Canis lupus familiaris: one gene and its partners. The protein of the gene in region 1 interacts with the protein of each later gene in a biochemical or structural test. Links are inferred from orthologs where the notes say so. Each region holds a gene or a part of one and is shown on either strand. Other genes may lie near its edges. The genes, in order: SHANK1, WWTR1 and CACNA1D.

Region 1 (4,289 bases):
CTGATCCTTGGTACCACCTCTTTATAGCTAGGTGACCTTGGGCTTCTCTGTGCCCCAGTTTCCTGCTCAGGAAAATGGGGATGGTGAAAATCCACAGCCCAAAGGATTGATGTGAAAAGTCGATGAGTGAATCCAGAGCAGAGCCTGGCACACAGGAAGTGCTCAAGAAATGTCAGCTAGGAGGGGAGCTGTGGCACTATGTTGTGCCTCTAACTGGATGTGTGCACACACCTGTGAAATGGTGAGGTGGGTGAGTGTGATGGGGCTGCATGCACATGTCTCCTTATAGTCGCGTGCCTCTGTTTCTGGCATGCGTGTGAGCTGGAGATCTGAGCATGCCCACCTGGGTGCTTGCCCCTCTGGGTGAGGGGGTTACTGCTGTGCTGCGTGTCTGCCCTGGACAGCGGGTGTGATATGTACATGTAGCTAGGTGTGTTTGTGGTGATGTACACTCAGGTATGTTAGGTCATGCATGCCTTGGAGAGTATGTATATGGGGTAATGTGCACACGTTCCTAGCAGGGCCAGCTAGTGACTCTAAGCACCTGTGCCTTGGGGGAAGATGTGTGTGTGTGTGTGTGTGTGTGTGTGTGTTTGTGTGTGTGTGTTTGTGTGTGTGTTGGGGGGGACAGAAATCTATAGCTCTCACAATCCAGTTTGGAAATGTAGAGTCTAGCAACAAATATTCACTGTGTCCTACTGTGTGTAGAGGGGTTGGGAAGCGCTGTGGGAAGGGGCGGTCCTGGTGTGTGTGTGTGTGTGTGTGTGTGTGTGTGTGTGTGTGTGGAGCGGTACCCTTAGGGGGGCGGGGCCCCATGGTCCGGGTAGGGAGCAAGCAGGGGTAGAGCCCCCTTGGGTTATCTGGTGGCGATGAGGATGGGGGGGAGGCAGGGGAGGGGGTGGAGCCGGCTGGGGGGATGGGCGAGGTTTGGGGGCGCGGGGAGGGGCGATATCTCCTCTGCTGGCTCCGGAGGGAGGGGAGAGGGCGGAGGGAGGGGAGGGAGAGAGGGAGGGAGAGAGAGAGACAGGGTGAGGGAGAGACAGTGAGAGCGAGAGAGCGAGAAGGGAGGCAGAGGAGGCGCGGAGCGGGCGGCGGCGGCGGCGGCGGCGGCGGCTTGAGGAAGAGGAGGAGGAAGAGCAGGCGGAGACGCCGCGCCCGGAGCCGGCCGGACCGAGCCGGGGGCGGGCTAGCCCGGAGGGGCGCGGCGGCCGCGGCAGAAGGGGGGGCGCTCTGCGGATGGCCAGGCCCGGCCCGCGGGGGGGGTGAGGTCCTCGGCCCCCCCGCCCTCCCCCCCGGCCCCCGCCCGCCCCCTCCCCGGCCCGCTCGCCCTCCGGGGCGGTGGGGCATGGCCTGAGGGTCCCCCGTCTCCGGGGGGGTGGGGGGTGGGGGGAGGGGGGAGGGGCCGCGGGCGCCGCCGACCGGGACTCAGCAGCCCCGCCAGGCAGGTAAGGGGGCCGAAAACCCGGGGGTTTCGGGGAGTTGCGGGGCCGGGGCCGGGGCCGGGGCCGCGGGAGGGGGCAGGGGCGCCCCGGACGTCCTTGGCCGCGCGCCGGGCTCCCGGCCCGGGTGTGCGGTGGGGGGTGGGGTGAGGAGGGGAGCGTTGCCCCGGGCGACGCCAAATTGGGTTACGCCCCGGTCCCCCGTGCCCCGTCCCAGATAGCAGACTTGAGGGGAGGATGCGCCCCCCCATCCCCCCGCCCATAAGGCCCCCAGCCCGCTGCCCCGTGCTCCCAGGCCAAGGGCTCGGTCGCTGTACCCACCTCCTGGCCCTGCCCGGCCACTCCCCCGCCTCGCCCACCCCGGCCGACCGGGGCCCTTGACCCCTTCTGCAGCCCCGCCGCGGGAGGCTCCTCCCCTAGGTCAGCGTGGTTCCCTGCCCCTCCGTCGGGGGTCTGGGCCTTGGCCTCCTCCGCCCCCTTGGGCCCCCTCTGGTTCCTGCCTCTCCTTCTAGTCTCCTCCAATCCCCTCCCACCCTCTTTCGAGCCTCCCTTCTTCCCCACCCGTCTCCTCTCCTTCTCCGCCGGCCGGCGCGCCCCCTCGGCTCCCGCCTCCGAGTCCCGCTCCCGGGTGCCCCCGCCCCCTCTCCCCGGCCCGGGGCTCTCCCCCACCAGTTTCTCAGCCCCAGCCCCGGCTCCTCTCCCCGCCTTTCCCCGCCTCTCTCCGCCTCCATTCATTCTCCCGGGCCCGGCTCTCGGCCACACCAGCCGCCCCCTGTCCCCCCGCAGCCTCGCAGGGCACCCCCTCTCTCCCCTTCTCCACCCCCCCCCCCCCCCCCGCCGATTCCTCAGCCCGTCTCAGTACCAGCTGCGTGCCAGCTATTCTTAGCCGCGGAGCGTTTGATTCATGCCGCCCCGGCGGAGTGTGCCCGCTCCCTCCCTCGGGCCTGAGGGGGAGGGGCCGGAGCTGGTCTGGGGGGTGGGGGGCAGCCGCACGCGCTGGGGAGCCGGGGCCAGCTTTGCTTTCATCCCCCTGGCCACCCCATTAAGTGCCCGGCTGAGGCTGGGGTCAGCCAGGGTCAGCCGAGGGGGAGTGGCAGCGGACTCCGGGTCCGGAGGTGGGATGTGGAGTGTGGGGGGAGCCGTAGGCTGCCGAGGGAGGGGGGTACCTCCGCACGGACCAGGTGGGGCAGCTCTGCTGGGTACCTGGAGGGGGAGGGGGCTTCGCAACCTGGCCATGCATGGGGGAGGGGTGGGCCAGCTCGTGGTTAAGCTGCTCACTCACCCACAGCTCTTGGAACTGTCCTGCCCCCACACTCATTTTGTCTTCCCCCAACCCCCAACCCCCCCAGCCCATCCCCACTCCCCCAAAGTCAGCAGTACCCTCCACTGCTTCCCATCTCCATGGCAACGGTGCAGGAGCTGGGCCTGGTGTGGGGGGGAGGGACCAGACCAGACATTCTGGTTTCCGGTGCTGGGGTGGGAGACTGGGAGAAGCAGAGGGAGGTGGACCCCATTTGGGACCCAGGCTTATAAGGCCACCTCAGGAGAGAATAGTGGGGGACCTGAAGATTACTTCCCACCCCAGTCCTCCAGACCATCATCCCACTTCTTAGCCACCCTCCCAGCCCCCAGTCTCCCTCTGAGTGGATCTGCCAGTACCAGGCAATGCTGATCCACCTGTCCTGTGGTGCCAGTCCTCAGATGTGCCCACAGGTTATCCACAACCACCCCACACTGACCCAGGCCACTGCACCCACTCACGGGATGGGCCCTCCCAGGTCAGTCTCCCCACCTACCCACACCCCTCTCTCAGGATGCCTCCAACAGCCTGCAGCGGCCATCTCTTGTGGTTCCCTTGGGGACACCCCATGCATGATGCTCTGCCCTGTGACACCCCTATCTTAGTGTCCTCGCTCCCCTGGGACACCGATTCCCAGCAGTCCTCTGCACACGTTGTCAGCCACACTTCAGTGAAGTCACTGGTTCCACCCGCTCCCAGGCACCACTCCCGGGCACCACGCGGCCTCCCACTTCTGCCATCCCAGGCTCACGGCACCTCTGTCTCCCCATTACTACATTTCAGCCTCCCCCCACCAGGTATCCAAGAGGAGGACTGGAGGACCTTGGGTGAGGGGCTAGGTTGGGGCCAGGAGGGCAGGATGCCGGTGGGTCGTCCACCTGTCTGTCCTCAGCTAATTTTAGCTGCATTTTCCGTGGCCTGCCAAAGTGGGCCAGTAGCTCCCGCGGTGATTCTGCGGTTTCTGGGACACTGCCATGCTGGGTCAGCGGCAAAGTGGGGCGCAGGACGGGTGGGGGTCTGCGAGCAGGGCCAAGGGCAAGGAAGGAGACCTGCTGGAAGCGTGGTGGCGATGGGCGTGTGTGAGCGGAGGCCGCAGGAGTAGCTGGGGGTGTGTCCGGCCTCCTTCCTGTCTACCTGGGGCACGCGGGGCAGCTGCCCTAGACTGCTTGTCCAGGAGGGTGGCTGTGGCCTCTAAGAGCCCTGGGCTCCTCACCTGACAGTTGCCCTTGGCCCCAGCAGCCGCCTGTGATGCTGCTGTCCCCTGTCGCCCCGTGGCCCCACGATGACCCACAGCCCCGCGTCAAGCGAGGAAGAGGAACGCCACAGTGCCAGCGAGTGTCCCGAGGGGGGCTCAGAGTCCGACAGCTCCCCAGACGGGCCCAGCAGAGGCCCCCGGGGGACCCGGGGCCAGGGCAGCGGGGCACCTGGTAGTCTGGCCTCCACCCGAGGCCTCCAGGGCCGCTCCATGTCTGTCCCGGACGACGCCCACTTCAGCATGATGGTCTTCAGGATTGGCATCCCGGACCTGCACCAGACAGTGAGTGATGGAC
Region 2 (4,357 bases), on another chromosome or scaffold:
GATCCTCCCACCACCCGCGCGGATGTCGCGGGGGCCGGGGGGTGGGGGTGGGGGTGGGGGACGCGACTGCTGTCCCTTTCCCGGACCCGGCTCCGGCCAGGTTTCTTCTCCATTTCTAGTGACCCGAGTCCCGCGTAGAGGAGACTAAGGATTGATGAACGGTTTCGAGGTTGTTTCCCAGGCTCCTGCCGGCGAGGCCGCAGCCACGGGGACGGGGGCACTTTCTGGGCACCGTCTGCGCCCCGGCAGACAACCGCGAGCCCGACAGCCAAGATGCCTCCTCGCCAGACCAAATATGGTCACAAGCGCCGAGCAGCCTCCCCGTGGAAAGGCTCGCCTGGCGCCCCCGCGGCAGGCCCGGCCGTCGGCTCAGCGGGGCGCTCCGGGCGCCCCAGGCCTCGACCCCGGCGCCCGGCCTGCCCCGGCCTGCGCCCCCGGCTCGCGCGCCCTCCGCCCCCCGCCGCCCCCCGGCCTCAGTTTCCGTCCGAAGCCCTGATCGCACGGGCGCAGGCCCCTGTCCCCGGATCCCGCCCGCGGTCGGCGGTGGCGGTGGACGCAGGGACTGCGGGCCCGGCCCCCGCGGAGAGGCGCGCGCCCCCCGGAGCAGCGCCCCGGGCGCCCGGCGGCTCCGGCCCGGCCCAGTACCTGCGGGGCCCCGGGGCCTCCGGGAGGCGGGAGGGGGGGGGGAGGGGGAGGGGGAGGGAGGGGGAGGGCCGAGCGGGCGCGGGCGGGCTCGGGCCGCGGGGCTCATGCATAATTCAGCAGCTCGGCCTTCGGGCCCGCCTCTCTCCTGGGCGAGGGAGTCCGCTCCAAACTTTGTTTATGGGACAGTCCGGGAGCCGCGGCGGCCGCGCTGTCTGCGTCTCCTCCGCCTCCTGCCGCGCAGCGCGAGCGCCGGGGCCGGTGCGGGGCATGTGAGACGCCGGGCCCCGAGTCGGGATCTGCCAGCCGGGCCCCGGCCACAGCCCCGCCAGCCCGGGAGGCGCCCGAGCCCCTGAGGCCCGACGGCGAGCGCGCCCCGACTCGGCCCCGCCGCGCGCCCAGGTAGGGCCGCGCACCCCGCCCCGCCCGGGGGCGCCCGGAGAGGAGGGGTCGCGGGGCGGGCTCGGGGCGGGACCCGGGGGCGGGTGGGGGTGGGTGGGGGGCTGCCCGGGAAGGCTGCGCCCTGCCCTCCGCGCCCGCCGTGCGGCGACCTCCGCAGCTCAGCCCCCGCCCCCGCCCTTCCTCCTCCTCCTCCTCCTCCCCCTCCTCCTCCTCCGGGCAACTTCCAGGCTTCGAGAAAGTTGCATAATTCCCCAGGCCGGGAGGGACCCCTCCCCCACCCGGCCGGCCTCACCCCTGGGTGTCTGGGATCCCGAGGCGGACACCGAGCCGTGTCCTCTAGCTCTTTTGTCTCTGTTCTGCTCCCCCCCCCCCCCCCCCCCGCACCCGCACCCGCACCCCGGCCCCTCTCCTCCCCCGACGCGTCCTAAAAGCCTCATCGCACCTCCCGTCTCTCCGCAGAAGATGAATCCGGCCTCGGTGCCCCCCGCGCTCCCGCCCCCCGGGCAGCAAGTGATCCACGTCACGCAGGACCTCGACACGGACCTCGAAGCCCTCTTCAACTCGGTCATGAACCCCAAGCCCAGCTCGTGGCGGAAGAAGATCCTGCCCGAGTCCTTCTTCAAGGAGCCCGACTCGGGCTCGCACTCGCGCCAGTCGAGCACCGACTCGTCGGGCGGCCACGCGGGGCCCCGGCTGGCCGGCGGCGCCCAGCACGTCCGCTCGCACTCGTCGCCCGCGTCCCTGCAGCTGGGCCCGGGCGCGGGGGCCGCGGGCAGCCCCGCGCAGCAGCACGCGCACCTCCGCCAGCAGTCCTACGACGTGACCGACGAGCTGCCGCTGCCCCCGGGCTGGGAGATGACCTTCACGGCCACCGGCCAGAGGTACTTCCTCAAGTAAGTCAGCCCGGGGCCGGGGCCGGGGCCGGGGCCGGGGGCGGGGGGCGCACGCTCGTCGCTGTGAGCCTGCATCCTTGCACGCTGGTCTGCGAAAGCCCCGGGAACCCGCGAGCGGGAGCCCCCGGGGGCTGGGGTGGGGAAGCCTCACCCAGCGGAGCGCGTCGGCTGAGCCGCTTCCAGGGCCCTGGGAGTCCCAGACACTGGGGACGTGCAAATAATCACCGCTTTGGGGGCGATTCTTGTGAAACCCACAGGCGACTCTGCCCCGAATCTGGAATAGTTGGTATAGACTTGGGGGGGAGGGGGGGGAACTTACGCCCTCACCTGCCCCTCCCCCGTCAGATGGACCAGAGCTTGCTCCATGGGGAGGTGACACCGAGATACATTCTAGAAAACTTCTGAAGCCCGGGAAGCAGAGGGACTCTCGGCTGTGTAGGTGGTCCGCACTCTCTCCATTCTCGGGGAAAAGCAAGCTGGAAAAGTGAGCCCCGCCGCCCGGCCCGGCCCGCCGGGCAGGCCTTACTGCTCCCAGCTGAGTGATGTAATGACCACACAGCGCAGTGATGTAATTAGCGACTCGGCCCCGGTGAAGTGGTTGCGGCTGGAAAATCAATTGTGTTGGAAATTGGGTCAGGAGTTTTATGATGTCACACTTAGTAACCTAAAACACCTTGGGATCCCGAGGCTGCTGTGTGTTGTTATTCTTCCCTTCCACACTGTCAGGGCCTTTTGATGGAATGATTTTTACGCCAGATTGGAATTAGACCGTACAGGAAACTATATTCACAGACATAAGAAAGATATTGTTTCCATGGTGGTACCCTAAGATGATTATGTTCCAGAGGAGAAACCAAGCTGGAACTTGAAGTGTGACCAGTGAGGTCAAGGGGGCGGGGGTCAGGCTGTTGATGGCCTAGATGGAAGTTGTGCCAGCTGGACCACTTGGTTTAGGGTTGCCTGCACTGGCTGGTGGCTCACTGCCATGGAGGGAAACTCCTCTTCTTAGCACTTGCCTTAGAGTTGATTTTAAAGCCCATATTTCTTTGATGAAGAAGAGCTTTCGTTTAAAATTTCTCCGGAGACATTATGTGCTCTTTTAAAAATATTATCAAGCCATTCTTTGGCACGAATACTTGATACCTTGATCGCTGTCGGTTGGCTCTAATAACAAATCCGCAGTAATGGATGAGGTTTACTGGAGCCAGGTCCTTGACTCATACTGGTGACCAGTTATTCCTTCCCCATCCCACAGCTGTTGACATCTTGTACAAGGAGGAGTTCTTTATTTTGTTTCTGGGATTGGTGTGATGTGGAGAAGCACTTGTCCTGAAGCCGACTTGATTGATGGTCATTCCACAACCGGCCTTCTCCCAGGCTTTGAGTGTTAGTGTAGACATGTACTCAGTGCTTTGACTTCTAAATGGCTGGTGCAATTCAAGTATGTGAATAACATGACATCTTCCTAAATGTGATGATACTGTTCTGAAGGATGACATTAGTTTCTATGGTACATAAAGCTCCAAAATAATCTTAAGTTTGCTTAGGTAAATGGGGTTTTGAATATTAATTGTGACTTTTATAGAGATGGACTTGGTAATGAATGCAAATACAAAATGGTCTACTTTACAGTAATTTAGGGGGATCTTTGGTGGTCCCAAATGACTTTGGGACCAAACACACGAAAATATATGATATGTGATCAGTATAACTGTGGTTATTAAAAATACGAAATAAGAGCTAGGCTTGCCTAATATCAAAGGAAAGCTAGGAAAAAAAGACCCCCCCCCCCAAAAAAAAAGCAAAAAAAAAAAATCCCTTTTATGCACAAGTTTTGAAAGATGAAACTAGGACAAAAATGGAAGTTAGTGGGCAGCCCTGGTGGCTCAGTGGTTTAGCGCTGCCTTCAGCCCAGGGCGTGATCCTGGAGACTTGGGATCGAGTCCCACGTCCGGCTTCCTGCGTGGAGCCTGCTTCTCCCTCTGCCTGGGTCTCTGCCTCTCTCTATATATATCTTATGAATTAAAAAAAAAATTAAAAAAAATGGAAGTTAGCTTTGGGTTTAGAGAAAGTCGCTCAGATTCATTGTCCATTCCCCCAGCTACAACCACTCTGCAGCCCAAGGCAGAGCACCTCTTCAGTCACTTTGGATAGTCAGTGAAGACCACGGCTGAAAAACTGTGTAGGTAGTAGGCTAGCTTGATTTGATGCAGCCCCCGGAAACTTTCTGGCCAAGTAGCTAAGGGAATTTAAGAAATTAAGTCAGCGTTAACTATTGTCTTTCAAGATAAGCAATCTGCCAGGAGTTCCCTGAGTTTTTTTGGGGGGCTTTGTTTAAAGTTGGAGTAAGTTAAATGTTGTATGACATAGCCTTGAAAGGCACCCCGATTAAGTAGAAGCTTGAAAAATCGTGACCACGG
Region 3 (3,638 bases), on another chromosome or scaffold:
CTACTGCTAAGGTTGCTTCTAGCTTTGACATTTGCCGATTCTGATTGTTCAGGTAGCTACAAATATGAACACTTGCTTCATAGGGAGGGAGCAATTTGCTCTTCAATGCTATGACTTCCTGGAATTTCCTTTTGACATGTTCCAAAAAAGCATTTGAAACGTGAGCGTGAGGGAGCGTGTGGAGGGAGAGGCTTGTGTGCGCCTCTTCTTCCTGAGCCCTTGTGAGTTAGAGAGCAGTCTGTCAGTGGGGGAATTTGCAGTTGCTGCCTTTATAAAACATTCTGTCTGTGTCCTTGGACTGGAGTTGCATTTCTGGGTGTCTCCTTTGTATTTTTAAAACTGAACTCCAAATGCCCCAGGATGGTTGTGACGTCCCGGATCTTGGAAAACTAGGGTGCTTGGCCTGCCCACCCCCTTCCCCAATTCTAGAGGCCAAGTCTCCAATTACTGCCACCCTCCAGAAGAGGTTGACTGAGGCCTCCTTTCTGAGCAAATGGCTTTCTAATTAGTCAGATGATTCATTGGTCTGGGTAAAACAAAGCATTTCCTTTTCCCAGAAGTGTATTTGGGACCAACAGGAGCCTTGGAGTAGCTCCTAACCATAGGAAGCAGTGTGAGTGTAGGGCTTCCCCCACAGCGCCCAGGGTGAAAGGGCTAAGAAGGAGGGATATTGACCACCACCTGGAAGGTGAGGCCAAAACTCCCTTATAACCCCAAGGACCCAGCTAGGCAGTTCTTTGCATGCCTTCTGTTGTAGCTGGCTCTTTTCTGAGGTTACGGACACGAATTAAAATGAGGTAACTTTGTCCAGAAAGGTTTTGGAGAGGGCAGCCAAATGCAAGGATAAGGTTTGAGGGGTTTTCATGTGCTTTTCCTTTTGAGAACAGATGCCTCTTCTCTAGGGGGAGTTATGGTGTCTCTCACATAGCTGAGGCTGCGTGGATATATTTTCTCTGTAAGTTTTTTTCCAGTCTGAGAATGAACACTACCATCAGCCTGGAGGCAGCTAGGTGCATAGGATGTGCCTCAGTGGCATCGCTCTGGTCAGAAGCATGGTTGCACTCAGCCAGAAAGATCGCCTCCTCCTGAGGTTGGTTTGACGTGACTCTGAGTGAGCAGAGACCTCTCCGGGGTCATTGACTTCTTGTGGAGTGAGGTGGGAGGCCTGGTGCTGTTTCTCATCGTGCACAGTAATTTGTATATAGCAATGTATGTGCACGGATTGAATTCCTGGATCTTGTTGCCGACTTTTCCAGGCATGGCCAGACACGTATGTATAGGAACGAGGGGATGTGGCTGCCAATCCAGGGAGAAGCCTGCCTACAAATGGGACAGTCTGTAGAGCAGATCTTTTTTTTTTTTTTTTTTTTAGATTTTATTTATTTATTCGTGAGACACACAGAGAGAGGGAGAGGCAGAGACACAGGCAGAGGGAGAAGCAGGCTCCATGCGGGGAGCCCGACGTGGGACTTGATCCCCGTCTCTAGGATCACACCCCAGGCTGAAGGCGGCGCTAAACCCTGAGCCACCGGGGCTGCGCTGTAGAGCAGATCTTTAAACAACATGTGATCTGTTTGTCTTTCCCAGTGACAGTTCCCTTCTAGTTCAGGGAGCATGTTAGAGAAATCCTCCGAAAGCCAGCTGTGCAGGCCCAGTCAGCCCTGGGAGAGTGAGAGCCTCATTGGTTTGTACGCCCAGATGAGGTAGAGTGTCCTGCATCTTGGGAGAATGAGGAGGGTTCACCTTATCAGAAGGAATTTTTAGGAGCAGATCCATCTATTTCTCTGTCTCTCTGTTCCGCTTGGCTTGTGAAAATCTTGTGGCAGTGAGATAGTATCCACCAACACCTGGCAACTGAGACCGGACCAGCACAAAGGAAAAACAAAATTGTGTTTGGTTTTCCTGAATAGCATTGGTATTTTTCAGATTTGCTGGCCTGTCATTTAGTATTGGGAACTACAAAAGGAAGAATGGTGGTATGGGGGATGGGAGAGACCACAGGTGTGTTTCTATGTAGAATAATCCTGGGGCAGTTGGCTTTTAAAATTTCAGTAGGAACTGCAAAAAAGGAAAAGTGAAGAGGATCCTGAAGTCTTCTGCAGGAGAACTGTCTTAAGGTTAGATCTTTGGATAAGAGATTTTATAATACGAGATGAGTTAAAAAATAAATATGAATGAAAGCTAATTGGCTTTAAAAATAAACCCCTCAAAATTAGTAAGAGAAGAATGTCATTCATGTCTTTATTGTGGTGAGTGTCGAAGCTCTTTAAGGGGCTGTTTCTTCATGAGATTCAGGATATCCCCAGTGAGTAAGATGCCTTTGTTTCCTTTAGCATTTTTGGATTTCCGGGAATGATATTCAGGATGAATGGAGAAGGGTCTGTTCACCTCCTCAAAGCTTTAGTACTTGGAGATATTTAGTTAAACCAGTGGTTTTGCCTTTTTTGGGTGAGGTTATGGGAGAAACACGGTTATAAAATTAAGCTCCCCGCCCCCTGCCCCCCAAGTTGCAGATTATGTTGGTGCTCAGAAACCTTGCATTCGGAAAGCCTGAAAGCCAGAAGAAGAAAAACAGTCATTCTGGCAGAAGCCAAATTTTGCATTGCCAGTTTTGACAATGTCTCTTAATAACACTGAATGTTGAAGCAAGTATCTGTTGCAAGCTGGCTTCAAAGTGATTTCTTCCAGACAGACCCCCGAGATTTAGAATTGTTCAATTGTACTTTCAAAGTGTCTGGTGCTGATTTCTTATGGCTTTTTATTTAATTTGTTTATAAATTGAATGCAGTAACAGCTCATTAGAAACCGAGCTCCAGTCCAGCTGTAATCCGAAACAGTGATAGGCATTGATTAGTAAAGGAAGCAGAAGGGGAGCTGGAGCCTGGCTTGCTTGTTACAGTGTCTGAGGTACTGGAACGTGCCACGAGACATGCACAGGTAGCATGCAGAAAGTTCTGGTGCCTTGGCCTGCCCGGGGCCAGACAGGAGACTGACCCAGCCAGGAATAGCCCCCGAGAAAATGGCTTTAACACATGGAGGCAAGGGTTTGTGGAAGAGACTTGTCCCATGAGGGCTCCTGTTTCTGTCGACAACAGCCAGGAACCTAGTGTTCTAAGGCCTTTGTCACTTTTAAAACTTTAAGAAGCAGAGACGCGATTCGTGGGGTGCCCTAGTTGGATGTATGTTTAGGTTTCAATATAACCTGCATAGCAGAGAAAGAGCGTTATGTGATCCTTGCAAGGGAAGGAAGGACATGGAAAAGTCATTCGCTAGGAGGACCTGCCAGATGACCACGGACGATTATATTTGCTGGAGACCTAGTGGTCACAACAGCCGGCCGAGAAAGGACGCGTGGGCCTAATTCTCATTTCCAAAGTGATTCAAGAGTGGTGTGATCGAGAGTGTGATGAGAGAAATGGTTTATGTTTACATAAGACATATATGCCTTAACAAAATTTTTCAGACCATTTGACATATTTATATTATTGGCTATTTTTGCCAATTGTGTGGCCTTAGCTATTTACATCCCATTCCCTGAAGATGATTCTAATTCAACAAATCATAACTTGGTAAGTATCCTTAGAGTTCCCGCCTGTCCTGACGTGTGGTTATCATTTGCCTCTCTACTTAAACTGGCA

The links.
Region 2: the proteins of SHANK1 (region 1) and WWTR1 interact in a test that uses a peptide from one of them, tested with the Homo sapiens proteins (2 studies listed by IntAct, with this or other methods). The link is inferred for Canis lupus familiaris from reciprocal best matches to the Homo sapiens genes SHANK1 and WWTR1.
Region 3: the proteins of SHANK1 (region 1) and CACNA1D interact in a biophysical measurement, tested with the Homo sapiens proteins (2 studies listed by IntAct, with this or other methods). The link is inferred for Canis lupus familiaris from reciprocal best matches to the Homo sapiens genes SHANK1 and CACNA1D.

Annotation. Positions count from the first base shown.
Region 1 is NC_049222.1:106,749,510-106,753,798, forward strand, and holds the start of SHANK1 (SH3 and multiple ankyrin repeat domains protein 1), read left to right. Parts: upstream 1-1,377; 5' UTR 1,378-1,445; intron 1,446-3,425; exon of another isoform or gene 3,426-3,536; intron 3,537-3,978; 5' UTR 3,979-4,021; coding exon 4,022-4,276; intron 4,277-4,289. UniProt on the Homo sapiens protein: Seems to be an adapter protein in the postsynaptic density (PSD) of excitatory synapses that interconnects receptors of the postsynaptic membrane including NMDA-type and metabotropic glutamate receptors via complexes with GKAP/PSD-95 and Homer, respectively, and the actin-based cytoskeleton.
Region 2 is NC_049244.1:44,926,477-44,930,833, reverse strand, and holds the start of WWTR1 (WW domain-containing transcription regulator protein 1), read left to right. Parts: upstream 1-1,503; 5' UTR 1,504-1,506; coding exon 1,507-1,937; intron 1,938-4,357. UniProt on the Homo sapiens protein: Transcriptional coactivator which acts as a downstream regulatory target in the Hippo signaling pathway that plays a pivotal role in organ size control and tumor suppression by restricting proliferation and promoting apoptosis.
Region 3 is NC_049241.1:36,773,035-36,776,672, reverse strand, and holds part of CACNA1D (voltage-dependent L-type calcium channel subunit alpha-1D), read left to right. Parts: intron 1-3,463; coding exon 3,464-3,569; intron 3,570-3,638. UniProt on the Homo sapiens protein: Voltage-sensitive calcium channels (VSCC) mediate the entry of calcium ions into excitable cells and are also involved in a variety of calcium-dependent processes, including muscle contraction, hormone or neurotransmitter release, gene expression, cell motility, cell division and cell death.